7 linked regions of the Callithrix jacchus genome follow. The protein of the gene in region 4 interacts with the protein of the main gene of each other region in a pairwise test. Links are inferred from orthologs where the notes say so. Each region holds a gene or a part of one and is shown on either strand. Other genes may lie near its edges. The genes, in order: BYSL, HTT, TXN2, MRFAP1L1, LNX1, PSMA1 and C15H3orf62.

Region 1 (3,999 bases), on a different chromosome or scaffold from region 4:
AAGAGAAACTAAAAAACTTTGTTCTTATACAGCTTACATTCTAACTGGAGGAGACAGTCTATGACCATACCACCCTGAACGCACTGATCTCATCTAATTGGAAGAGACAGACATAAATAAATGTATAAATATATTGGGTTAAAAGATAACTATTATGGGCAAGGCGCGATGGCTCATGCCTGTAATCCTAGCACTTTGGGAGGCCAAGGTGGCTGGATCACCTGAGGTCAGTAGTTTGAGACCAGGCTGGCCAACACGGCAAAACCCTATCTCTACTAAAAATACAAAAAAAGAAAAAAAATTTGCTGGGTGTGGTGTTGGGTGCCTGTAATCCCAGATACTTGGGAGGCAGAGGCAGGAGAATTGCTTGAACCTGGGAGGTGGAGGTTGCAGTGAGCCAAGATCTTGCCATTGAATTCCAGCCTGGGCAACTGAGTGAGACTCTGTCTCAAAACAAAACAAAACACAATGATGCCTATATAGATCGAGTGGAATGGGCAAAGGAGAAAGCAGTAGAAGAGGTCAGACTGGCAAGGAGGCAGATGGTATAGGGATTGTAGACCCCCGTACCCCAGCTGTTGAGTGTTCTGAAGAGTACGAGATACAGCAGGGCATGGTAGTTCACACCTGTAATCCCAGCGCTTTGGGAGGCCAAGGCAGGGAGGATCGCCTGAGTTTGAGACCAACCTGGGCAACACTATGGGACCTCATCTCTACAGATAATTAAAGCATTAGCGGCTAGGCGTGGTGGCTTATGCCTGTAATCCCAACACTTTGGGAGGCTGAAGTGGGCAGATCACCTGAGGTCAGGAGTTCAAGACCAGTCTGGCCAACATGGTAAAACCCCATCTCTACTAAAAATACAAAAATTAGCTGGACGGGGTGGCTCACACCTGTAACCTCAACTACTCAGGAGGCTGAGGCAGGAGAATTGCTTGAATCTGGGTGGCAGAGGTTGCAGGGAGCCGAGATCACACCACTCCAGCCTACGTGACAGAGTGACTGTCTAAAAAAAAAGAATTAGGTGGATACATGGTGGCATACACCTGTGGTCCCAGCTCTATGTGGGAGGCTCGGGTGGGAAGATAGCCGGAGCCCAGGAGATTGAGGCTGCGGTGAGCTAAGATTGTGCCACTGCACTCTACCCTGGGAGACAGAGCGAGAGACTCTGTCTAAAAATAAAATAAAAAGGAAAGGAAAGAAAAGAAAAAAAGGAGAATATGAGATACTATCTAGGAGGCTACTGTGATAATCCAGGTGAGTCTGTGATAATCTAATGTGAGAGACTGGTGGCTTGAACAGGATGGTGTTCCAAAGTGGTGAAAAGTGGTCTGATTTTGGATATAACTTGATGGCAGAGTTATCAGAATTTCCTTACAGATCAGATGTGGGGAGGGAGGGAGAGAGAGGAGTCATGTTTATCTTTAGCAAATGAAAGAATATCATGCTACTCACTGAGACAGTGGTGAGAGAAGCAGGTTTGGAGAGAAGGTCAGGATTGGTTTTGTACATGTTAAATTTGAGCTGTTTCAAATTGGAGGTGCCAAATAGGCAGTTGAATATAAGAATCTGGATTTCATGAAAGAGATCAGGGCTAAAATATAAAGTTAGGAGTAGTCACCCAAGAGATGGTATTGAAACCATGAAACCTGACAGCACTAGAGAATATCTGAAGAGAAGAGGTCAGAGGACTGAGGATAAGAGGTTGCAAGTAAGAGTCAGCCAACGATATTGAGAAGTGAGGTGGCAGTGAAACAGCAGTGTTGATGTCTTATAACCCAAGTAAGGATACTGTGGGCAGGAGGCCACTATTCAATTGTGTCAAATATTGCTTTAGATGAGATCTGAGAAGTGGATGAAGCACCTCAGAGGTAAGCACTCCCTCCCTAGTAAGAACCTATCAAACGTCAATTCATTTCTCTCCCTTTTTGTCTGCGAAACGTGTTTTCTGCTCATTACACTTCCCATTCGTTTTTCAGTTCTCAGCTTAAAGGTCCTACAATCGGAGAAGCTTCTCAAGACCAATGCTACTGTCACCAGGGAAACGATATTTTATCATGGAAATATATTATTCTAAGAGTCTACGTAATTGTCTCTCCGCTGGGCTTGACTGTAAGGTCCTTAAATCAGACGTGTCTGTATGTTGTTACTTCTGTACTCAAATATTCGATTGAACTTCGAGCATAGCGCAAAGCTCGTAGTAGGTTTTCCATAAATATTTACAAAACCAATGGATAAATGCTAAGAACACTTAGTGGCGCGAGCGATTACTTCCTATTGGCCTAACTTCGGGGGTGCCTAGAAGGGAGTGCCTAAAACTAGGAGTGGGCGCGGAGGTCTCTGGCCATTGCTTAGTCTCCCATTCCATTACTTTTGCAAGTCCCCTGCCGGACACTTTTTAGCTGTCCTCCCCCCCGCCCCCGGCCCCGCTGCTAGCCATTGTCTTGTTCGGACCTCATCCCAGACACTCACCCAGCCGCGTGGTGCGTTCCTGCGGCGCCGCGGGCTTGTCCCCAGTCCCATGCTCGGCCTCGAGCTCCTCCTGTTGCTGCCGTGCTTGCTGCAAAATCCGTCGGCTCAGCCGAGGCCCCACATACTCTTCCTCCTCTTCTCCGGTGCCACGACCCCGCCGCTTCTCCCGGACCCCTGCCCGCAACGCATTCCCAGCTAGGATCTGCTCAGCCAGGGGCGCATGTTTTTCCTGACCCCCGGCCCCACGGGTGGCCTTGAACTTGGGCATTTTTCTTGAAAATACTGCCGGGAAGGTTCGCACGTGGGGACGACGAAAAGGCCAGAATACACTTGGGTGAACTCCCACCTCCCAAGAGGCCACGCTGCGATCACAGCGCCCTCTAGCTATCGGAGGCCAGAAGCGCTATCAGCACCGCCCCTCCCACTAAAAGAGCTCCTGGGTTCCGGAGCTGGACTCCCAAATACATTTACTTCCTTTAACGTTGGCGTCTCTCAATAGTGCAGTCTAAGTCTCGTTCTTCTAGCTTCATGGATCTAAGCCTAGAGTGCTCAGCCAACCGGGAATTTCCGGAGCTAGAAACATGAGAGCGGGAATCCACTGATTATGTCACTGGAGGCGTCACCGACGGGTGCCAAGACACGCCCCATTCCTTGGGGAAGGCGTGGACCCGGCGCTCTGTTTTTACGTATTTCCGGAATCCCTTCTGCGACCGAAGCCTGTGTTGGGGAACTGAAGCAGTTCCTGTGGGCGGACTGGGAACGACGCATTTCTACTGTGTGATCCTGCCACCTTCCTGTCCCGACACCATGGGAGTGACTTGGTAGGACTGCAGGGGTTTTGTGGGGCGGGATTTGGAGTTGTGAAGGGCCGGGAAGAGGTCCTTGACCATGGCCCGCCGTCCTCTGGGAGCTGAGCGAAATGTCCTCGGGTTATCTGGATAAGAGGATACCGTGCGGGCCGCGGGTTCCCTGGGCCTTTTTCCTCGGAGATGCGCTCTTACCTCTTGGAAGGCGGCAGAGCAAAGGTTTTATACCAGGGACCTATCAATGGTTATGTACCTTCTTCCCTTATGGGTACATCTTCCTTCCCGTGAGGCCATAGTACTGTCTGCACTTGGACCTCAAGGTTGGAAATAGGGACTTTGGATTAGGACCTACCTGCAGACAGGGTTGGAGGGAGTAGGTTAAAAGCGATCAGGAGACAGTATTTTTTTTTTTTTTTTTTGAGATTTTCGCCTACCCTTGTCTCAGCCATCAAATGCAGTTAGACCAGCTGGTGTCTGTTTGTAATTTGCCCATTTTAAGATCTTGGGTCTAGAGGAAAAAAGAGGCTATTGATAAGAAGGAGATCGTGGTTCCAGGCACTCTTTAGGACCTGCTTCTCACTATGTTTAATTCCATGGTTGGTCTAGTTTCAATGGAGTTTTTATCTTTCATATGTTTTAAGTCTCAGTTGGAAGATGAGGTGGCAGGGAAAGGTACAACGCTCGCGGAGGCATTAGTTGTAAGGTACTAGGTCCCAGACAT
Region 2 (3,500 bases), about 3.0 Mb from region 4:
CACACACACAGATAATTATGCTTTGATTTCAGTCTTAAGAGTACCTTGATGGTATTTGTAAATGGGATTGGGCACAGTTTGGCGGACAGTCAGTTTGGGATGATATTTCAGTCTGTAGGGCCAAGCTATTTTACAATTTGCATTTTGAAGTTGTCACTCTCCTAGCAGATGGTGGGAGATAAACTATTACTTCTTAACCTCAGACTTAGTCTTCGGTCCAGATGAGGAAGATTAAAAGATTATAAATATCTTGCACCAGATGAGGTGATTTTATCTTGAAATGACCATAAATTCGTATCAGTTGTTTCACCGGGATATTTGTGGTGGAGTTTGTACACTTGAGTTTTAGGATAGATGATCTGTTTTACATTTATTAAGAATGCCTTTATACCACGTATTGCCTGTTGCAATGTTTTGAGTATATTCCAGAAGTGAAATTTCTGGGAAATAATAATAGAATACAAACTGTGACTTGAAAGTCAACTAGGGCCTGCATTTGTATCATGATCTGTTTGAGTGTTGGTGAGAAAACAGCTGTAAAGAAAAAGTTTTAAACAAGTTGCGTTTTCCTTTAAGAAGCCACTAAGCGTGAGTCCTTTTAGTGTATATTTCTAGACTCCTAGTTTGCGGAGTTTAGACTAAGACTAAAAAAAAAAAAATTGTGTTGTAACTTCATTTTTGTTTGTATTTTAGACACCAAAGGCTCTATTCCCTGCTGGACAGGTTTCGTCTCTCCACCCTGCAAGACTCACTCAGTCCCTCTCCTCCAGTCTCTTCCCACCCGCTGGACGGGGATGGGCACGTGTCACTGGAAACAGTGAGTCCAGACAAAGTAAGTGTCCAGCCTGTCTGCATGGGAGGTACAGGGCACATGCAGGGTGGTGCTGAGTGCCACTGTCACCTCTAGCAGATAGAGAGTGTGCAGAGGAGGTACAGTGAACCCAAGGAGTCTGGGGCTCGGCCCGAGCCAGCTTTGGTTAGAGATGTGGGGCACCACTAAGGTCCTAGGATGTGGGACCCATATGTTAGGAGTATGGGGCCCAGTAGTTAGTGGGTGAATCAAGGGAAGGTTGGCCAGGGCCTGCAGGATTCTGACTGCACAGGCCTTCAAGCACCTGTCAGTGCGTTTAGCCTGCCTCCATTTCCTTACGCCTTCTGGCCTCCTGTCAGTTGCACCACCACTGCCAGCCATTCTGGCATGTTGTCAGCACCTCCACTGCTCACACTCAGGGTTACTTAGGGACTGCCTGGAGCCTTGGTAGAGCCTTGGTACTCTACTTTCCTGGAGAGAGTTCAGCTTATGAATGTGAATTTAGATTTCAAAAACCCGCAGCCCAAGTATAGGAAAGCGAATGTTCAGTCCTGCCTTCTTAGGCTTTGTTGCACCTGCCCTGCCCTGGTTGCTGGGGAGAGACGAGCAAAGCAAAGCCCAGGGAGGATGTAAAGGGGCTGCTAACCCTTAGTGCTTTAGCTGTATTTGGAAGGACTGTTGGAAGTTCACGAGGTGACAGGGAGACTGCAAGGGTGCTCAGGCAGGTAACGGAAGTCCAAAGGTGGTGTGGGTAACGGAAGTCCAAAGGTGGTATGGCTCCCCACATAAAGCTGTATTTGGAAGGACTGTTGGAAGTTCACGAGGTGACAGGGAGACTGCAAGGGTGCTCAGGCAGGTAACGGAAGTCCAAAGGTGGTATGGCTCCCCACACCTGTGGTGTGGGGACCCATAGGGCCACAGCATGCTGGCTGTTGTCCCTCTTGGTTAGCCCAGTGCAGTGTTCCCAAGCACTGGCCTAGGCCCGTAGCTCCAGGAATGTGAAGACCCCTTGAATGCCGCCCATCATGTTCCCTGTATCCATTTTTTCTTCTCAGGACTGGTACATCCATCTTGTCAAATCCCAGTGTTGGACCAGGTCAGACTCTGCACTGCTGGAAGGTGCAGAGTTGGTGAATCGGATTCCTGCTGAAGATATGAGTGCCTTCATGATGAACTCGGTACGGGGGGGAGCAGCGGAGGCAAGGAATCCTCAACTTTTACTTGTGACTTCCAAGTGGGATTTGTCTCATCATCATGACCCACTTGTTGACAACACCTGCTGGGGACTCCACTCTGGCTATGGACAGGAGGCTGGGGAGACTCCTGTCTGAATGGGGCTGGGAAGTGGGGAGGACTCGATTTCAGATGGGGCTGGGACGTGGGGGATATGCTGATCCAGATAGGAAAGCACATTATTTCAGCCATGTTAGAATCCAAGAAGGCAAGTTGATTTCACTCAACCTTTCATGCATTTAAAGAAAATGTAGATGGTGGCCAGGTGTGGTGGCTTATGCCTGTAATCTCAGCACTTTGGGAGTCCAAGGCGGGCGGATCACCTGAGGTCAGGAGTTCGAAACCAGCCTGACCAACATGGAGAAACTCCATCTCTACTAAAAATACAAAAATTAGCTGGGCATGGTGGTGCATGCCTGTAATCCCAGCTACTCGGGAGGCTGAGGCAGGAGAATTGCTTGAACCCAGGAGGCAGAGGTTGCGGTGAGCCGAGATTGTGCCACTGCACTCCAGCCTGGGCAACAAAAGCGAAACTCCGTCTCAGAAAAAAAAAAAAAGGAGGTGATCTTGTATTATAGTCAGTTTGCTTCTTTGTTCTCATGGCAGTGAGGAAGGGTTTTGGATTGTTGTCTGAGGTCGAGAATATGAGGGAATGAAGTGTGGCCCTGGGCACTCCGATTGGCATCTGTGGTGGGGAATATGAGCGGCAGGGGAGCAGGGTAGAAACTGGATGGCAATTGGAAGCAGGCAACTGTGGAATTTGAAACAAGTTGATGGGAACCCTCTCTCAAGAGGAGGTACTGTTTTGAAATTCAGCTGGCCCCAAGGCTGGGTGTATGGTTTAGGATGAGAACTATTTGGCCTCCACCAGAGGAACAAACACGGGATTTTATCACCTACACTCATTGGCCAACACAGAATGGAAGTCAAGGTTGCATATTTGCCATAGACTTTGACACAACATCATGCATGCCTTCAATAGCATGTTTATTCTGGAAGTTAAAGGAGACTCTTGGATGCAGTGAGATTTCCTCTACCCATACCTCTGTTAGATGTAGTGAGGTTCTTCACCTCCCAATCCCAGATGTCAGAGGGCACCCTGTGCAGAGCCAGCCCAGGAGGCCTTGGTGTCCCTGTACTCCAAGCCCATGGACAGGTCCTGTGAGCAGCAGGGGCCTGCCTCTTGCGTGTGGTGCAGCTGTGGCCCGAGCAGGGTTTCCTCTCGGACCTGCTGGGACGGGAGAAACTTCCTGGTGTGTTAGCCCTGCGTCGATAAGCAGCAAATGGGAGGGAAGTGGGCACCTGGGAGGGCAAAGGCATGTAGAGCTGGGGGTGGCTGCAGGTGTTCATGAAAAGACCTTTCAGGGAACGCAGCACAACAGGGTGTTCTGACGCATTGAAGAGCTATACTGAAAACAGGAGAACTCGCCCAAAATTGGTTTGCTAAAATCGTTTA
Region 3 (4,133 bases), on a different chromosome or scaffold from region 4:
AAAATTGGAGTTCACTATATCTAACATCCCAAAGTGCTGGGATTACAGGTGTGAGCCACTGCACCCAGCCTACTTCATCATTTTGCAAAGGCAGTTCCAATAATACAGAATATCGTCTGGTCAACGATGGATGCACAGAGAAGGCCAGGAAAGGGTCACCAGAGATGATATCTGTTTAAGTCTATCCTGGCCAGCATGGTGAAACCCCGTCTCTACTAAAATGCAAAAAATTAGCTGAGCGTATTGGTGCGTGCCTGTAGTCCCAGCTACTCAGGAGGCTGAAGCAGGGAAATCGCTTGAACTGGGAGGCAGAGGTTGCAGTGAGCCAAAATCAGGCCACTGCACTCCAGCCTGACGACAGAGCAAGAAGAATTTTTTTTTTCTTTCATATGCAAGGTTACCTGAATGAGAAAGAATTTATGTTAAGCTATTGATTGGTTGAAAATTGTTCTTTGTATTACAAATTCCAGGAACAGGTGAGGCTGCTAGTGAAAACTTAAAATAGGATGGGTGCAGTGTGGCTCAAGCCTGTAATCCCAGCACTTTGGGAGGCCAAAGGGGGCGGATCACTTGAGCTCAGGAGTTCGAGACCAGCCTGGCCGACATAGAGAAACTCCATCCTACCAAAAATACAAAATTAGCCGGTTGTGGTGGCACGTGCCTGTAATCCCAGCTACTTGGGAGGCTGAGGCAGGAGAATCGCCTGAACCCGGGAGTTGGAGGTTGCAGTGAGCCAACATCGCACCATTGCACTCCAGCTTGGGCGACTCAGCGAAACTCTGTCATTCATAAATAAATAAATAAAAATAAAATAAAGCAACAGGAATTGGCAAAATCCAAAACCAGGGGACCTCTCAACCGCCTTTCTCCCTTAAGTACCCTGCCTTGCTACCACCACTCCCAGCCTGGGCGACAGAGCGACACGCTGTCATTCATAAATAAATAAATAAAATAAAGCAAAATAAGTTGGCAAAATCCAAAACTACGGGGACCTCTCAACCGCCTTTTCTCCCTTAAGTATTTTCCCTTGCTACACACCCCGCCCCCGCTCCATCACCTCCTCTTCCGGTCCTTCCTCTAGGGCCCGCCCACCTTTTCCGGTTCCTCCCCCGCAACCCTCCATCTGCCCAGACCAGGGTCGGCCCGCTTCTTCCAATCCCTACCCCGACGGCCTCTTCATTGCTTCCGGTCCCTAACTGAGGCCCCGCCCCTTCGGCTGTGACTCCTCCCGCCATCCCTTTTGGCGGAAAATCGTAGACCCCCAAATTGGAGACCGATGCTTTTCCGCTTGTCTGCCCCCGGAAGTGACGCTAGGCCTGTCCTCTGAGGAAGTGACGACAGGAGTGCCCTTGACTGGGAGGGCTGGATTCTGCATCCCTCCGCTGGCGGTGCAGGGAGGTAGGAGTGCTGTGGGGGTGGCCCCAGGTGGTGTCGATGCTGTGGCACGCTGCTAGCGCGTTCCTGCGCAGGTTGACGGCTAAGCGGGCGGAGGCCCCGGGTGGGTGGAGGCCCCGGGCGGAGGGACCTGGCTCGCCGGAGAGCGGGGGTCCCTGGTAGGTCCGTTTTTACCCATTTCCCTCCACACGTGTCCCTTTTTGATTGTTCCTTCCAGTACATGTCTCTTCGTTTTTGGTTCCTCTCACACTCAGTTCCTCCTTGAATTGTTACGTGTCATCTTTCCCAATCATTTTATCCTCCTAATCTCCCATTAAAACACGTTTTCAAAGAGCAATAGTTGGAGTGAGGACTTGGCGGACGACCCTAGGTTCCAATGCTGGCTGTCACTTAATAGCGGGGGTACTTTGGGCTTGTCACTTAACTTGCTTAACCTCGAATTCCTTTCCTTATTTTTGATATGGGCAGTGCAATAGTAGGAAGATCAATAATGCATGTAAGGCACTTGGCCCTTAGCAGGTGCACCATAAATATTGGTTTATTCCTCTCATTCTTCTGTTATAATCTAAATCCTGATTTCTTCTTGGTTGTGAAGCCAGTTTTCCTGTCCTCCTGATTTGCCTGGCTATTCCTTCCCTTTGATTCTCATTGCTTCATCACTTCTACACTACAAATCTTACATATTATTTCCTTGCATTTTGCTTCCAACTCTGCCTCTTCTTGAACCCCAAGTACTCCCCAAATCCCTTTCTTTTTCTAGTGTGTTGCCTTCCTTTTTGTGTACCCCAGTTCTTCCGCCTCTTTCCCTCACAGATGGCTCAGCGACTTCTCCTGAGGAGGTTCCTGGCCTCGGTCGTCTCCAGGAAGTTCTCTCAGGGTTGGGGGCCACCCCTCACTTCCCAAGCTCTGCAGACCCCTCGTGGCCTGACTGTAACACCCAACCCAGCCCGGACAATATACACCACCAGGATCTCCTTGACGACCTTTAATATCCAGGATGGACCTGACTTTCAAGACCGAGTGGTCAACAGTGAAACGCCAGTGGTTGTGGATTTCCATGCACAGTGAGTACTGGGGGTCCATGGAAGACTAGGGTCCTACATGTTCAGCTGTTTATTGAACACCTGCTACATCCCAGGACCATATTTGATGCTGCTCATGTGTAGACTCATTACAAAGACTGGTCAGACCCAGTCCCTGCCCTCAAGGAGAGTGCAGTCTGGTAGAAGACAGATGAGTGAACAGTCTGCAAAGCTGACTGTGGTTAGTGCTGGGAAACACATATTGTGTTCTCATTGCCCAGAAAGCTCAGCATCATCTGCATGGACCAGAGTTGGAAAAATACAACTGTAGTGTCATCTTGCTTTTGGTGTATACCAGTTCCTGGCCCTGCAGATAAGTTGATTTTAACATCTTGCCATGAAATCTGTGGGAAGGGCTAGCAAAAAGTTATCAGTGTTGGCCTGGCATGTTGGCTCATGCCTGTGATCCCAGCACTTTGGTAGGCTGAGGTGGGTGGATCATTTGAGATCAGGTGTTTGAGACCAACCTGATAACCAAACCCTGTCTACTAAAAATAGAAAAGTAGCCAGGGGTGGTGGCGTGCACCTGTAATCCCAGCTACCTGGGAGGCTGAGACAGGAGAATCACTTGAACCCAGGAGGTGGAAGTTGCAGTGAGCCGAGATCATGCCATTGCACTCTAGCCTGGACAAAAAGAGCAAAACTCTGTCTCAAAAAAAAAAAAAAAAAAATCAATATCACTGCTGTGGTGCCCAAGCATGCAGGGCATAGGAAGGCGTTTTCTTTCAGTGCTGAGTTTGTTTTAGAGAGAAATATTAAGTCCCTCTGCCCTTCTGATTTTTAGCCTGGCTTTTTTCATTTCTAGACCTTTGGGGCCTGGCTAGACACCTAACTACACAAAAGCTGGACAAAGCTCTCTGAATGAGGCATCCTGGGAGAGGAACCAGTGAAGCATAAGTTACAAAATCAGGGGCCTTCAGGTCGGTCGCAGTGGCTCACACCTGTAATCCCAGCACTTTGGGAGGCCAAGGCAGGCGGATCACCTGCGGTCAGGAGTTCGAGACCTGCTTAGCCGACATAATGAAACTCTGTCTCTACTAAAAATGCAAAAATTAGCCAGGTATGGTGGCAGGCATCTGTAATCCCAGATACCTGGAGGCTGAGGCAGGAGAATTGCTTGAACCCAGGAAGTGGAGGTTGCAGTGAGCCGAGATCGTGCCGTTGCACTCTAGCCTGTCAAAAAAGCGGAACTCGATCTCAGGGAAAAAAAAAAGATATGAAAGGGCCTTCTGGGCAGGTATCTGACAGATTCTTTTGCCATCTTTCCAGTTCTTTCTCTGACTCACCCTGTGGCCTTGGGCAGGCCACTTGATATTCTTGTCTACCCTTTCTTCACTTATAATAGGAGTTAAGTTCTTGCACAAAGGGTTTTTAGGTGTTACGAGTTGTTTTTATTTTATTTTATTTTTTGAGACAAGGTCTCACTTTGTCACCCTGGCTAGAGTGTAGAGTGCAATGGTACAATCAAGGCTTACTGCAGTCCCTACCTCTTGATCTCAAGCAGTCCTCCCATCTTGGCCTCCCAGAGTGCTGGGATTATAGGCATGAACCACTGCACCAGGCCTGAGGGGTATTTTTCTTTTTTCTTTTGAGACAGATTCTTACTCTGTTGCCCAGGCTGGAATTCAGTTGCACGATCAGCTCACCACAACCTCC
Region 4 (4,149 bases):
CCAGAACTGTGAGAAGATAAATGTCTGTGTTTAAGCCACGCAGCCTCTGGTGCTTAGTTGTGGTGCCCAGAGTGGAGTAAGACATCCATCAAGAATGCATGAGAGTTCCGTTTGTTCAGCATCTTCCCCAATGCTTGGTATTGTCAGCATTTTAAATTTGAGTCATTCTAGTGGATGGACAGTGCTTCCTCATTGCGGTTTTAATTTTCATTTCTCTGCTGAATCGTGACGTTGAGCACGTTTTCACATACATATTGGCCATTTGGATATTCTCTTTTGCTAAGTGCCAGCTTTTGTCTTTTGTCCATTAAAAAAAATTTTTTTTCTTGTTGATCTCTAGGAGTTCTCGATATATTCTGCATGAGTCCTTTGCCAGATAGAGCTATTGAAAATATCCTTTTTTTCAGTGTCCTGCTCTTTTTCTCTTAATGTTCTTTTGATGAACATCTGCTAGAACATTGGTGGTTGCAAAACTGTTTCACACACATCATCTTACAAATGCCTCTTCCCACTGACAGATATTCAGGCTGGGGCCATTGGTCTTTATGAGACTGGAAAACTGAAGCTCTCATCTATGGCACTTGTGCAAGAAGGATTCCCCCCTCTACACACACTCGTATCACTACTAGTGTGGCACTGGGTGACTAAGCCTCGCAATAGACTCCTCTATTCCACAAAGGCATCAGGTTGGTGATCAAAGCCACATTTACTAGGCCCCTGCTGACTTTCAGGTCCTGTGTGTGGTAGGTACATAAGGGTGAGCAAGACCAGAACCCATCCCCAAACAGCCTCCAGTCTGGCAGAGGCACTGAGGTACTAGAGAAGAATTCCTGTCTCTAAAGCATCCCCTAAGGCCCTGCTTGACGCCAGGCTGATAGGAAGGGCGGAGGACAGAACTGAAACAGAAGTGGCCCTTTACCTTGAAAACCTTACAGACTGCTGAAGAGCGACTAAAAACCACAGGCCAGAACCACCCAAGGCAGAGAGAGAAATCCACTCCCTACCCCCCGAGAAAAAAAGCATGAGCCAGGGGTGGGGAGAACAAGGGACCTGCTCCGTTCTGGAACAGTGAGCACACTGTGGACACACATTGCTTTGGGCTCAAATCATGACTCTGGCCTGGTTTTTACCTCTCTTATAGGTTCGTTGTGAGCGCTAAGTGAATTTCATATAAATTATTCCAAGCTTGTGCATGTTTAGAGAGTAAGCGCTGTGAACGCCAGCCCGTCTTATTCAAATATAGGGATGGGGAGGGTCGCTTTTACTTAAAAAAAATAATAAAAGTAAAAGCCCTCTAAAGAGAGCTTTCCGAGGAAGACGCGAACAAACCTGCCGCCACCGACCTAATTTTTAGAGAAGAGAGCCGAGCGGAGCGCCGGGAAACAGGTGGCGAATGGGCCGCGCGCGCCCGCTACCTGGTCTTGCCACAGGCGTGACCGTAAAGGGGCCCGGCCCTGTCGTGAAAGGGCCGCAAACAGGCGGAGGGCGAGTTGACGGCTGCGTCTCCATTTTGTTGGTCGCTGCGCTGTGTCCGTCCACGGTGATTCTTCCGATAGAGTTCCGAAGCGAAAGGCTTACAATTAAAAGGAAGAAAAAATTTAAAGATAATTCGGGAGTACTATGGACAAAGCGTGTGGATCGCCTAGACTCCAGCAGTAACTCCTGATCTGCAGTCCCCAGGGGGGTCCAGTAAGGATAACGTCACTACTGCGGTCTTAAAGAAGCGGCAGGAGGAGATGCGGCCTCTGGACATCGACGAGGTGGAAGCGCCAGAGGAGGTGGAGGTGCTGGAGCCCGAGGAGGATTTCGAGCAGTTCCTGCTCCCGGTCATCAACGAGATGCGCGAGGACATCGCGTCTCTTATACGCGAGCACGGGCGGGCGTACCTGCGGACCAGGAGCAAGCTGTGGGAGATGGACAATATGCTCATCCAGATCAAGACGCAGGTGGAGGCCTCGGAGGAGAGCGCCCTCAACCAGGCGCAGCACCCGAGTGGCGAAGCCGACGAGAGAGTGTCGGAGTTGTGCGAGAAGGCCGAGGAGAAGGCCAAGGAGATCGCGAAGATGGCAGAGATGCTGGTCGAGCTCGTCTGGCGAATAGAGAGAAGTGAGTCTTCTTGAAGGAGGACATCGGTGGTAAGGTCTGAACCTGGCGGGAGCTCGGATGGAACTCAGTAGTCGCCCTAAGCATGGTGTGAAACCGCGCCCTGTCAAAAGTTATATCCTAGGCCTGCACTCCCCGCCCCCCCCCATTTTTATTGCATCAAAAATTGAGCATTGGGAACGAAGTTGGGGTCAAGAGGAAAGAATGCGTGCTGGTTTTGTTAGGTGTTAGTGTACCGTTTTTGTATGGCCTCTCCCTCCCACACTGATAGAGGAAAATAAAAGTAACTTGGGGTTTGTGAAACATGAAAGTCAATTCTAATAGGGCGGTCCCCAGAAGTAGACCTGACTAGGCACCAAGGGAGTTTGGGGAAAGCCAAAGAAAACCTAGGCCGTAGAGCAAAATGGAACGCAGGGCGAGAACGCAGGCAAAGAGAAAGAGTAAAGCCAGAGGACATTACCTGAAATTTCCAGATTGTTCTATGAGGCAGGTATGTCAGAAGACCCTGTCTCAAAGCAGTGGCATTCTTCTGGTTGGTTAACATTTATTTTTAACATCAGGATATGGAACTTTTCATGGTCAATTTCTCCCAATTGTGCTTTAGGTTCACAGCTGAGGACTATAGTCAGCTGGTAAGGATGAACTGACACATTGAGGAAACCGAAACCGCTTGTCATCTCTGTTTTGTTTTTGTATGTTTTTTACCCCCATGTAACAGTCTCCCTTATGGTCAGTGATTGATAAGCTCGGTATGGGTTTACATCTTCAAATGTATTTGGTTCTGGAAGGATAACTTTTGTGGGAGAAATACTGTTGTAAGAGAAACGGGGCTTCATCAAAAGTTGTTTTCGCCGTTACTTTTATTCTTGTTACTTGCTTTTGAAATGTTGGGCATGACCTTGTATTTTGCTGTTACCTTTGTGACCTGATTGTTTTTTGGAACACATCAAGACCTGGGATCAGAATCTTCCGACTTTAGAGGGGCCTGCCTTGCACTACTTGGTTGAGCCTCGTGAAGAATGTATTAATGAGGCAGCTTTGCATAAAGCTGGGAAGACCGAGAAGACAGCTGGAGATGGAAGTGGTTTTGTATATATTTTGGAACTTTCGTTCCTCTGTGAGATGAAAGAGGAGAGCTATGTTTTGTGGCACATTGTCTGATGTATCTTGTGTAATCTGTCAGGTGAGTTGATTTAGACAGCATAGCTGACCTTATGTGACAAGGCAGTGAGTATGGACTGTTGTAATACCCTCACACATCACAGGGGCTTCAGAGAATGGCACTGAAGAGACAGTCTACAAAGAGCCTTGAGAGACTGGAGAAAGGAAAAGACATTATCAGGGCCTGGAAAGTCTCTTCCAGTTCATCAGGGTAGTAGACCTGTCAGATTGGAGGTCAAAGTCAAACATATAAAAAGTGTTAATTTGCCTTGAAAAACAAAGACCTCAAAAGCCTTTTTTAAGAAATAAATTTTTCGTTCACATGACCAAAACCCCTCCTGTGTGTGTTAACAAAAGAATCATAAATAAATTTTTTTGAAATGGATGTTCTTCATTGTCATCAAATGGGGTTGAACTGCTTCTAGTTAAAGGCTCTTGGTAAGCCTTTAACTGAGGGAGAATTATTTCTGGAACATGCTATGGAGATGAGCTGACAGAAACCCAGTTCTGGAGAGAAAAACTTTCGGCCATCCTCTGGGTCCAGCCCCTACCTTTCAGCAGCAGACATGTGTTTAGTCACCCAGTGGGAATGTGACGTGCTTCATATCCTGCACGTAAAGGTAAGAGATGAATGGGGCGAAGGTGTGGGACAGAAACGGAATATAAGGAACTGCAGACAGAGTGCGTGGGTGTCTTGTGGGAGCCCTGAGGAGGGAGTCACCTCTGCATAGGGGAGTGTGCAAACTCAGAGCAGGTGACTTACCTGGGCCTGAAAAGTAGAAATGAGTGAAGGCATATGAGGCACAGGGATCAAAGTGAGCAGAAGCCTTTCAAGTTATAGCACTGGGGAGATGGCCGGTGAGCTGGAAGTTAAGGAGTGTGGAT
Region 5 (4,077 bases), about 44 Mb from region 4:
TAGGATTCCCTTTTGGCATCTCTTCTGTGCCCACCCAGTCTGGGCTAGGTGCCCTCCCCTGGCAGGTTGTGTAGGCTCTCATTGCACTTGTCCACATGGAATTGAAATTTATTGCTTATTTGCTTCCCACAGTGGACTGGGAGTTCCTTGAGGGTAGCAATCAAGATTTAAATCTCTATGTCCCACCCTAGCCAAGCACCTCATACCTCGTAAGCGCTTTGTATCTGTTGTTGAGTAAAATGAATAATGGAGAACCTTGACAAGGACTTGGCAGAGAAGAAAAAGGAGAATTAACTGCCCCAGTAGTGGTTTTTACCCTGGAAATGTTGTTACTACCCTGAGCAGATAGTGAGCAGCTCACATCCATATAGATGAGCAGACCAAGTGGAATAGAATGAATGGCATAAGCCTGACTTCTTTAGGCCTGATGCTGAGGACATGTGCCCTGCCTATACGAAGGAGAAAGCTCTGTTCCCCATCAAAGACAGTGACAACACAGGTACATACACACATGCACAGCGCAGGTCACAGTCTTTAAAAATATTACACGTGGCTGAGCAAAGTAGGCACCTGTGCGGGGTGTGGAGGACATATCGTAGCTCCAGAATTCCAGGAGCCAGCTCAGGGAGGCCCAGAACAAAGCATCAGGGCCTAAGCAGGGTGCGGAGGGCATCTGAATGGGGCAGGGGACACTGGTCATGATGGCAGTTGGTGATATTTGGGGGACCGAACAAATAAACAAATAATATATTAAGGATAATGGGAGCCAGCCTCTGATCAATGTTAATGACGGCAGTTACAAATTCAGAAAGGGAGAAAACTCTGTGGTGTTGGAAGTGTGAATTTATGGTTTTCAATACATATGGATTAATATAGAAATAAATAGATACATAAATAGAGGAGGAAGCTGGGAATCAGAATTAGACCTGTCTAGCTCTTTTCACCATTCTTTACTAAGGCCCTACACATAGGCCCTCTGCTGTGAAACCTCTGCCCCCTTCGCTGTCCCCTAGAACCCCAACTGGAACTCACATAGACTTAGAAGATTCCACCCCCATAGTCTCAGAGCATGCATCACACCACATGGCACTAGTTGCACACAACTAACTCATGAGGTTTTGGTTACATGGAGGGTAGGCCTCCTCTTATCTGTATTCCCTGCATCTCCCTTGGAACCAGGCACATGGCCATCACGATAGTTAGTATTAATATTTACTGTGCACTTATTATGCATCAGCAAAGACTTCACATGCATAATCTCATTTACAGCTGAAGACAACCCTATGAGGGACATATTACCATCATTCCCATTTCACATATTGGCAAGGTGAGGTTAGAGGGGTTAACCGAGGTACGCCAAGATGTAGAGCTAGTGAGAGGTAGAACCAAGAGTCAAGGCCAGACGGTCTAATTCCTCAGACTGTGCTCCTCACCCCTCAGCTCTGCCACCATGGACTAGGTGTAAGTAAATGGTCACTCAACAGATTCCTCCCAGGGACTTGTGTTTCTAAACACTCTCCCTCAATCCAAGTCCACACTTTATGCTGAGCTCGTTTGAAGCTCACCTCTTTAGGGGAGCTCCCCATCCTGGTCTGAACTGCTGCCTCAGTTCTCCTTGGGCACAGGGCTTGCATCGCACCCTGACATATGACCCAGTCAGTGTTGGAGCAGGGAACATAGTTTGTCGACATTTGTTGAACTGAATTCAATGCCCAGGAATGGAAGTAAACAGGGATACATGACAAAGTGGTATATTGTACAGGATACTGTGGTTATCTATTTCTGGATTTTCCAGAAGAGTTCAATTTCTAAAATTCCATCCTCTCATCAGACCATTTGTCAGAATACATGGCCAAGAATGTAGTCTGGAATTTTGTTTAAAGAGTAAGGTCGCCATTCTATAGAAGAGAGGCGGGAGTGGGCACAGGGTGTGCTGCCGGGCACCCCAGCCCGACACACCCGTGGGCAGGTCACAGCTCTCTGAACCTCTTTATCTGTAGGTAAAACTGCAGTGCAATACCTACTCCTACTGCGGAGTGAAATGAAGTCTGTGTGTGATGTGTTTTAAATACTGATGAAGAATAATGTCATGTAAATCCAGTTACTGCTAGTGGGATTCCTCACGGTTTCACTGACCTGTCTGGCAAGTCATTTTCATCTGTGAAAGTAAAGAAGCTTTTAATGAAGACCACTGCAGGAAAATAGGTATAAAGAGAGCAAATGTCCTGAGGTCTTTCTAGTGTTTTGAAAAAGACACCCCTGGATATTTTCCATCTTTTAGACTCTCTTCAATTTGATGCGTGTGTGTGTGTGTGTGTGTGTGTGTGTGTGTGAGAGAGAGAGAGAGAGAGAGAGAGAGAGAGAGAGAGAGAGAGAGAGAGAAAGAGAGAGAGAGAGACAGAGAGAGGGGAGAGTTGGAGGCCGAGTGGGCAGAGGTGGAGTTGTTTTAAAAAACTGCATGAGATTCTAGCTGGTGGAGGGACAAGGCTATCTTACCTTTGCTGTATGAGGTCTCCCAGCTGTGTGAGGTCTCAGGAGATAGTTCTTTTGAGAGCTGAGCTTTTCTGGCTTAGCAGTAGCTCAGAAAACTTTTCTTTCTCTTTCCAGTGTTCTGTGCCCCAGCTGTGTATAAAAACTGCTCCGCCTTTTTCCATGCAGGGGTTAACCAGGGCATCTCCTGCCCCTTCTGCAAGGCTTTGGGTAGAAGAGATCCATAAATCTGACAGCAGCTATGGGGAGATTCAAGGAAGAGCAGTCTCCCGCAGAGCAGCATGCATTACCATCAGTGACAAATCTGTCTGGTTTGGATGGGGCTGAGACACCCCTGAACTTCCTTCTGCTCTTGCCAAAAGTCAAGATCCTTTTGTTCACCTTTAGGGTTGCCAAGTCAGGCCTACCTCTCCCCTAGATGTTGTTTCCTGCGGGCAATGGGAAAATGATCTTGGAGCCAGAGAAGGGAAATCAACAAGGAAATAAACACAGGGTCACCACACCTTCAGGCCATCAGTAGGTCTGGAACATTATCATGCTGGGACCAACTCCTTAATAGGCAGGGGCTGCTGACTGGACAGGCCCTAGAATCCTGGGCATCTTTTATTTTTCAATAAGTAAAGGGGCATGCACCAAAATCAGTATCAGGCAAATAAGTAGTTCTGACTTGTTCTAATACCTTGCCAAAACTTTCAAAGATTTTCCATAGGCAGTATTGCTCATAACTGAACATTGCCTAATGTTTGTAGACAAAAAAAAAGGAATGGGCATGTTTGTGGCTGATACTATTTAAGACTTTTAACTCCAAAGATATAGAATTATTGTTTAAATAAGTATTTCTTCTGCTCATTCTTCAGCATCATCACCATCATCACCATCGTCAGCGGCTGCAACATCTTTGCTAACATTTATTAAGTGCTTACTGTCTACCAGATTCTATAGTAATCACCCGACCTGCATTATTTCATTTAATTCTCAACAGAATCCTATCATTATCACTCCCATTATACAGATAAAGAAACTGAGGATTAGAGAGACTAAGTCATTCCTGCAGAGTGACCCAGCTAATTAAAAATGTAAACATTGTGATTCCAGAAGTGGGCTTTTCTGAGCTTTGCTTTTCCCACCAGTTGACCTAAGCACTAATGTGGGCTGACAGCTCCAGTAAGGACCAAAGATTTTGCTTAAATAAGTGATTAGCTCTGGGTATCAGATTCTAAATAGAAACATAAATAATTAGTGAGTTAAGTAGTCTCCTTCCAGAGATGTGAGTCGAGTCCTTGGTGTTACCTTATGTATATGCATCATGCAAGAAGGACACAGAGAGTTCAGGTACTTGTGGCCCCGTAATCACAGGTGGTGCTACTGGCTGCAGTGCCTTCAGCTCTCCACTGTGACTCTGATTTACAAACAAGGAAGTGCTCTGCAAGTCCCTTGGCCTCTGTGTGCATTTCGGTCATGGCCTGATTGCTACTTTGTCCTTTTGACTTTCAGAGTCAAACTGCTGCAAGTTTCTTTTAATCAATAATCCAGGGAATGAAGGAGGCAAAATGACCAGCCTGGAAACTTCTGCCTGGTGAGATGAAG
Region 6 (3,347 bases), on a different chromosome or scaffold from region 4:
CCTTTAATTTCATTTTGCATGGTTCAAGATAAAAATTGTTCTGCAACACCTGAGTATACCACTCATGGGAATAAAAGAAGGCAGCTTAAAATCATGCTGGAGTGGGACTGGAGCGGATAAAAGGTTTGGGATTCAAATTTCCCAAGTGTTATTTTTGCAGAAGTTCCCTACAAAGACCAGAGCTACAACTACTGCCATCTGCTGGTTGGAAAGAAAACCATTCATATGATAACTGATGTTTATGTCAGGAAGTGGTGGTTTCTTAGGTTTTAATTAGAATCACCACGGTTGAACCCTGAAACTTATATTCTAAACCAAATCTCCACAGATTCTTAGGAAGCCAATCCATACACTGGAGAATTGTTATAAGGCTATGATAGATAAGAGGTATTATTTTTCTCCATCACTAAAAATAAGGCAATTTAATTTGGCAAATGATCAGTTGTAATCCCATACCACTATATATAGTTGAAGGTACTTGAAAAAACAAAAACCCAATATACCAGGGCGGTGAAACAATTTTATTTCAAAGTTGTGTTTAAAACCACAAAGACACCTATTTTCTTCATATAAAAACATTAGTACAGATACCCATACTTTCTAGAAAATGATTATACAGACCCTTTCAAAGACAAATGTATTCCACTGTATGGTTTCAGTGAGGTTGCTAGGAAAAACTCACATCTGGACTGATACCTAAAACATAGCATTCCACTAGTCTGCAACTTTTGGTTCAAAGTATAATTACTGTCATCAGTATGTGGTGCCTGTATTCTTACATATTTGATAATATATATATAGACTGGCTTATCACTTAATGTTCCATTGGTTCATCAGCCTTTTCTGCAGGTTCATCAGCAGGTTGAGCAGGCTTAACAGGGAAAGAAAAAAGAATACATGTAAAATGAACACCTGATCAATATATACATCTAATCACAAATATTACATTATAAAAAATGGAGAAAAAGAGGTAAAGAGATATTCTGAATACTCAGTTTTAGTTCACTGTCCCATTAACATTTCTGAGCAGTTTTTTTTTTCTCCTTGAGTACTCATGATTTGAGGTGAATATTTTTTTATTAAAAAAAAATACAGTTAGCCCTTGAACAACACAGGTTTAAACAGTGAGGGTCCACTGGCATGTAGATTTTTTTTCTTTTTTGTTTGCTTTTATTCTAACATTGTTTAGGGTGAAGTTTTTTTTTTCCCCCAATAAATATAAACTAGCAGACCAACTGTGTAGCCTAGAAATAAAAAATAAATAAGAAAAAGGTATGCCATGAATGCATAAAATATATGTAGAAACTAGTCTATTTGGTCGGATGCAGCGGTTCACATCTGCAATCCCAACACTCTGGGATGCCGAGGCAGGAGGATTACTTGAGCCCAGGAATTTGAAAACAGCCTGGGCAACACAGTGAGATCCCATCTCTACTAAATACAAAAAAAAAATTAGCTGGGCATGGTGGCACGCACCTGTAGTCTCAGTTACTTGGTGGCGAGGGGGGTGGAGGGAGGTGAGATGGGAGAATCACTTGAGCCCAGGAATTCGACCTTGCAGTGAGCTATGATGGCACCACTGCACCCCAGCATGGACAAGAGGGCAAGACCTTGTCTTAAAAAAGAACAAAAAAGAAACTAATCTATATGTGTTAACTGCCTGTTTATGTTATTGGTAAGCCTTCCAGTCGACAGCAGGCTATCAGAAGATTTTGGGAGTCAAAAGTTATATGTGGATTTTCTACTGTGATGGGGTTTGCTACTACTATTCCTCACACTGTTCAAAGGTAACTGTATATATCATTTCGCAGTTCTGAAAACCTAAACAGCATTGAACAATTCTACCATTTTATTGTACTTTGTATTGCTCAGGAGTAAAAACTTTCCTTATATTATCACTACTATGCTTAAAATACAATCAGCACTTTTTAGACATTCTTTACCCCTTTACTAAACTCTGTGTTATTTCACAGCATGCTTCCCAACAGTGCTACTTTTTTACCAAAAACAGTTTAAATACTACAAATCTTGCTCCCCCAAACAGTACCAACAATATCCTTTTCAAGTTGGAAAAAACACATGCTATAGAAATTTCCATACTAGATTCTTTTTTACTTTCAATTACACAGGTATCAAATAAGCATCTATAAATAGCAAATATGTATTCTAAACATCCAGCAAAAAGACCCATATTTAACCTGAGATTCATTTCTTGATGCTTTTCTCTTTATGAAGAGCCATCTTAGTGTCCAAAGCTGGCCCCCAGTGAATATTTCTCCCAGTCTCCGCTCAGACAGAATCTGGGTCCGGCCAGTGACACAGTTTAACAAACAGAATGTGTACAGGTGATGATGTGCCAGTCCTGTGTCTCAGCCTTAAGAATGTCTGGCAACTTTCACTTCTGACTTTTGCAAGCCCTGAGTTGCCAACATACTAGAGAGACCCTGCTGAAGAAGCGGCCCTGAGACTACATGGACAGAGGCTCAGTCATCCTAGAAGAGGTCCCTGCCTTCTAGATGCTCCTCTAAGACACCTAGAAGGTGTGAGTAAAGAAGACATGGGACTAAAGTTATCTTGGGTCTTCCAGTTGCACCCTACAAATGACTGCAATTGAGAGATCCCAGGTTAAACCAGCAAAGAACCCTGCAGCTAAGTCCTAGTCAGCCGCAAAATTATGAGAAGTAGTGTTTGTTGTTCTAAGCCCCTAAGTTTTGGGGTAGCTTATTAACTAGCAATAGATAACCAAATAATCAATGCTTCTCCCTTTCTGTGTTTATGGATATCATTGTCCCCTCAATATTTAACTTTACTCAGTTCTTAATTTCCCAATTGCTATTTGAATTATGGGCCCATTTCAATATTTATGACAAAATGGAAAATTTACAAACACAGTTGTGGTAATAACGGAATCTTACAATAGAACTAAAGCCTCTTGTGTTATGATTATATACCTGTGCCTTTCTCTGTGGCCTTTCTTCAAGACCTTCCAGGAATGGAGATACATCATCATCATCATAGATTGTAAACTCCAAGTCTTTACCAACAATTCCAATGGAAACATTCTGAGGGATAAAAAATCATAAAAATAAAATAATTAAGAGAAAAAATATATATGATAAAATATTGAGTGAACAAAGCAGAATAAGAATTTATTATAGCACTTGAATAAAACTTTAAAAACTACTTATGTGTAGGGGAAAAAAGAAACTAGCAGACCCTTGTCATTAGCAGATTTAATATTAATACTCACTTTTGATTATCATGAGTAACTCCAAAGATCTATGTTATCAAGAAACATTTTTTTAAAAAGATTATGCAGGCGGCCGGGCGTGGTGGCTCACACCTGT
Region 7 (2,282 bases), on a different chromosome or scaffold from region 4:
GAAATCTGTATGTTCTATATGTGAACTACATGTGCTCTATTTTTTATTTATTTTGTCTTTTTATTATTAGTAGTAGTATTTTTTATAAATAGAGACAAGGTCTTGCTTTGTTACCCAGGCTGGTCTTGAACTCCTGGTCTCAAGTGATCCTCCTGCCTCAGCCTCTCAAAGTGCTGGGGCATACCAACCAATGTGCCCTGTTTTTACAGGCTTACCATGCCAGTGTGCCCTGTTTTTAAACAACTCATACTACATAGTAGACAAACAGCTCCTAGTAAAGGGCTGAATAGCCTTGGGTGCTGCCTGAAGCTGTTGTTTCTGAAAGGTCTCCAGGTTATGAGGGAGAAAAAGAAGGCCTGGAGAGGATAGGTACTCATCCTGGGCCACAAAGTAAAACCCCTGCCAGCCTGTGACTTCAGTGGCCTGCTCCAATAGCCCGAGGAGGTGAACTGAAATCATTACTGCCTCTACCCACCATCTTCCTTGGCCTTCACCAACATCAGGGAGCATTTTCTTTTCTTTTCTTTTCTTTTTTTTTTTTTTTGAGACAGGGTCTCACTCTGTTGCCTAGTCTGGTCTCAAAACTCCTGGCTGCAAGTGATTATTCTACCTCAGCCTCCCAAGTTGCTGGGACTGCATGTACACACCACCACTCCTGGCTAGGAACATTTTTGTTACCCTAAAGACCTTGTTTTTTTTTTCACATTGTGTTTTGTCATCCCTGAGAACCAGGACAACAATGTACATTTCTTTTTCTTTTTTTTGGTTTGGATTCTCGCTCTGTCTCCAGGCTGGAGTACAGTGGTGCGATCTCAGCTCACTGCAACCTCAGCCTCCAAGTTTCAAGTGATTACCCTGCCTCAGCCTCCTGAGTAGCTGGGACTACTCACCATGCCCGGCTAGTTTTTTGCATTAGTAGAGACAGGTTTCACCATGTTCGCCAGGATGGTCTCGATCTCCTGACCTCATGATCCGCCTTCCTCAGCCTCCCAAAGTGCTAGGATTACAGGTGTGAGTCACCGCACCTGGCCAACCAGGTACATTTCGGTATCCTCCCATTTATACCTTTCTTGGGGAGTGGCATATAGTTGGAACTCAATAAATGCTTGGGCCTGAAAGGAGGATACCAAACCTACCTTAATTTGGCAGTCCAGCAGCTTACCTGCCCTGGGGCAGAAATGTCTGCTTTTCCACAATCCCTGAAGAATGACAACCCATTAATGGTTTTTAACTTGTACCTGAAATGTCTTCAGAAACCTTCCACTGGAATTGTAAAGCTAAATGTTCTTATTTTTAAGACCATACAAGCATCCGAACTATTGAAGAATTGGCTGGAAAAATAGAATTTGAAAATGAATTAAACCACGTGTGTGGTCATTGTCAAGATTCACCCTTCAGGAAGGAAGCCTGGGCCCTGCTCCTGAACAAGAGTCCTCAGAAGGCCTCAGATACTGACCCTGGCAGCCTCAAACAGGCTTTTGATGATCATAATATCATTGAGACTGTTCTGGACTTGGAAGAGGACTACAATGTGATGACCTCTTTTAAATATCAAATTGAGTAAGGACAGTTGATCTAAGCCTTACAGCAGGAGGTAGCCCTTGAGCCTGAGCAGAAGCAGCCACAGTGGCCATCAGGGGCCACATTTCTAAAAAAGTTGGCAGAACCTGAATTACCAGACCATGTTTAACTCCCAGTTGTGTCCCTTTTTAAGCTGTGAGACTAGTTTTTTGAATTCTATTGCTTTGAAGTGTTTCCTATTATTATTATTTTTTTACTTGACATCTTGAATGTGTTTTTTTGATTCATGTTCAGTATACCCAGTATCCAAGGTAGGTATGGGTCGTGGGCCTCTGCTGTGTCTCTTGGTGTTCTTTTCCATGGGCCCCTAAAAAATACAGGAGTGGCCAGGTACAGTGGCTCACGCCTATAATCCCAGCACTTTGGGAGGCCAAGGCAGATGGATCACTTGAGGTCAGGAGTTCCAGACCTAGGGCCTGGCCAACATGGCGAAATCCCATCTCCACTAAAAATACAAAAATTAGCCAGGAGTGGTGGCATGCACCTTATAGGTCCCAGCTACTCAGGAGGCTGAGGCAGGAGAATTGCTTGAACCCAGGAGGCAGAGGTTGCAGTGAGCCAAGATTGCGCCACCACACTCCAGCCTGGGTGACAGAGGCAAGACTCCATCTAAAAAATAATAATAATTTAACTGGGCATGGTGGTTCATGCCTGTAGTCCCAGCTACTTAGAGGGCTGAGGCTGGGGGGATCACTTGAGGC

The links.
Region 1: the proteins of MRFAP1L1 (region 4) and BYSL interact in binary tests that used the Homo sapiens proteins (3 or more experiments, as listed by UniProt). The two-hybrid records come from large-scale screens. The link is inferred for Callithrix jacchus from reciprocal best matches to the Homo sapiens genes MRFAP1L1 and BYSL.
Region 2: the proteins of MRFAP1L1 (region 4) and HTT interact in binary tests that used the Homo sapiens proteins (3 or more experiments, as listed by UniProt). The link is inferred for Callithrix jacchus from reciprocal best matches to the Homo sapiens genes MRFAP1L1 and HTT.
Region 3: the proteins of MRFAP1L1 (region 4) and TXN2 interact in binary tests that used the Homo sapiens proteins (3 or more experiments, as listed by UniProt). The two-hybrid records come from large-scale screens. The link is inferred for Callithrix jacchus from reciprocal best matches to the Homo sapiens genes MRFAP1L1 and TXN2.
Region 5: the proteins of MRFAP1L1 (region 4) and LNX1 interact in binary tests that used the Homo sapiens proteins (3 or more experiments, as listed by UniProt). The link is inferred for Callithrix jacchus from reciprocal best matches to the Homo sapiens genes MRFAP1L1 and LNX1.
Region 6: the proteins of MRFAP1L1 (region 4) and PSMA1 interact in binary tests that used the Homo sapiens proteins (3 or more experiments, as listed by UniProt). The two-hybrid records come from large-scale screens. The link is inferred for Callithrix jacchus from reciprocal best matches to the Homo sapiens genes MRFAP1L1 and PSMA1.
Region 7: the proteins of MRFAP1L1 (region 4) and C15H3orf62 interact in binary tests that used the Homo sapiens proteins (3 or more experiments, as listed by UniProt). The two-hybrid records come from large-scale screens. The link is inferred for Callithrix jacchus from reciprocal best matches to the Homo sapiens genes MRFAP1L1 and C3orf62.

Annotation. Positions count from the first base shown.
Region 1 is NC_133505.1:50,424,051-50,428,049, reverse strand, and holds the start of BYSL (bystin), read right to left. Parts: upstream 2,801-3,999; 5' UTR 2,741-2,800; coding exon 2,473-2,740; intron 1-2,472. UniProt on the Homo sapiens protein: Required for processing of 20S pre-rRNA precursor and biogenesis of 40S ribosomal subunits. May be required for trophinin-dependent regulation of cell adhesion during implantation of human embryos.
Region 2 is NC_133504.1:189,945,536-189,949,035, reverse strand, and holds part of HTT (huntingtin), read left to right. Parts: intron 1-693; coding exon 694-832; intron 833-1,866; coding exon 1,867-1,989; intron 1,990-3,500.
Region 3 is NC_133502.1:207,432,896-207,437,028, reverse strand, and holds the start of TXN2 (thioredoxin, mitochondrial), read left to right. Parts: upstream 1-1,333; 5' UTR 1,334-1,553; exon of another isoform or gene 1,554-1,557; intron 1,558-1,647; exon of another isoform or gene 1,648-1,797; intron 1,798-2,208; coding exon 2,209-2,459; intron 2,460-4,133.
Region 4 is NC_133504.1:186,946,485-186,950,633, reverse strand, and holds MRFAP1L1 (MORF4 family-associated protein 1-like 1), read left to right. Parts: upstream 1-1,487; 5' UTR 1,488-1,736; coding exon 1,737-2,120; 3' UTR 2,121-3,649; downstream 3,650-4,149.
Region 5 is NC_133504.1:143,048,487-143,052,563, reverse strand, and holds the start of LNX1 (E3 ubiquitin-protein ligase LNX), read right to left. Parts: upstream 2,801-4,077; 5' UTR 2,497-2,800; intron 1-2,496.
Region 6 is NC_133511.1:80,374,564-80,377,910, forward strand, and holds the end of PSMA1 (proteasome subunit alpha type-1), read right to left. Parts: intron 3,063-3,347; coding exon 2,952-3,062; intron 872-2,951; coding exon 815-871; 3' UTR 501-814; downstream 1-500. UniProt on the Homo sapiens protein: Component of the 20S core proteasome complex involved in the proteolytic degradation of most intracellular proteins. This complex plays numerous essential roles within the cell by associating with different regulatory particles.
Region 7 is NC_133516.1:31,876,830-31,879,111, reverse strand, and holds the end of C15H3orf62 (uncharacterized protein C3orf62 homolog), read left to right. Parts: intron 1-1,298; coding exon 1,299-1,564; 3' UTR 1,565-1,782; downstream 1,783-2,282. UniProt on the Homo sapiens protein: Essential for normal spermatogenesis and male fertility.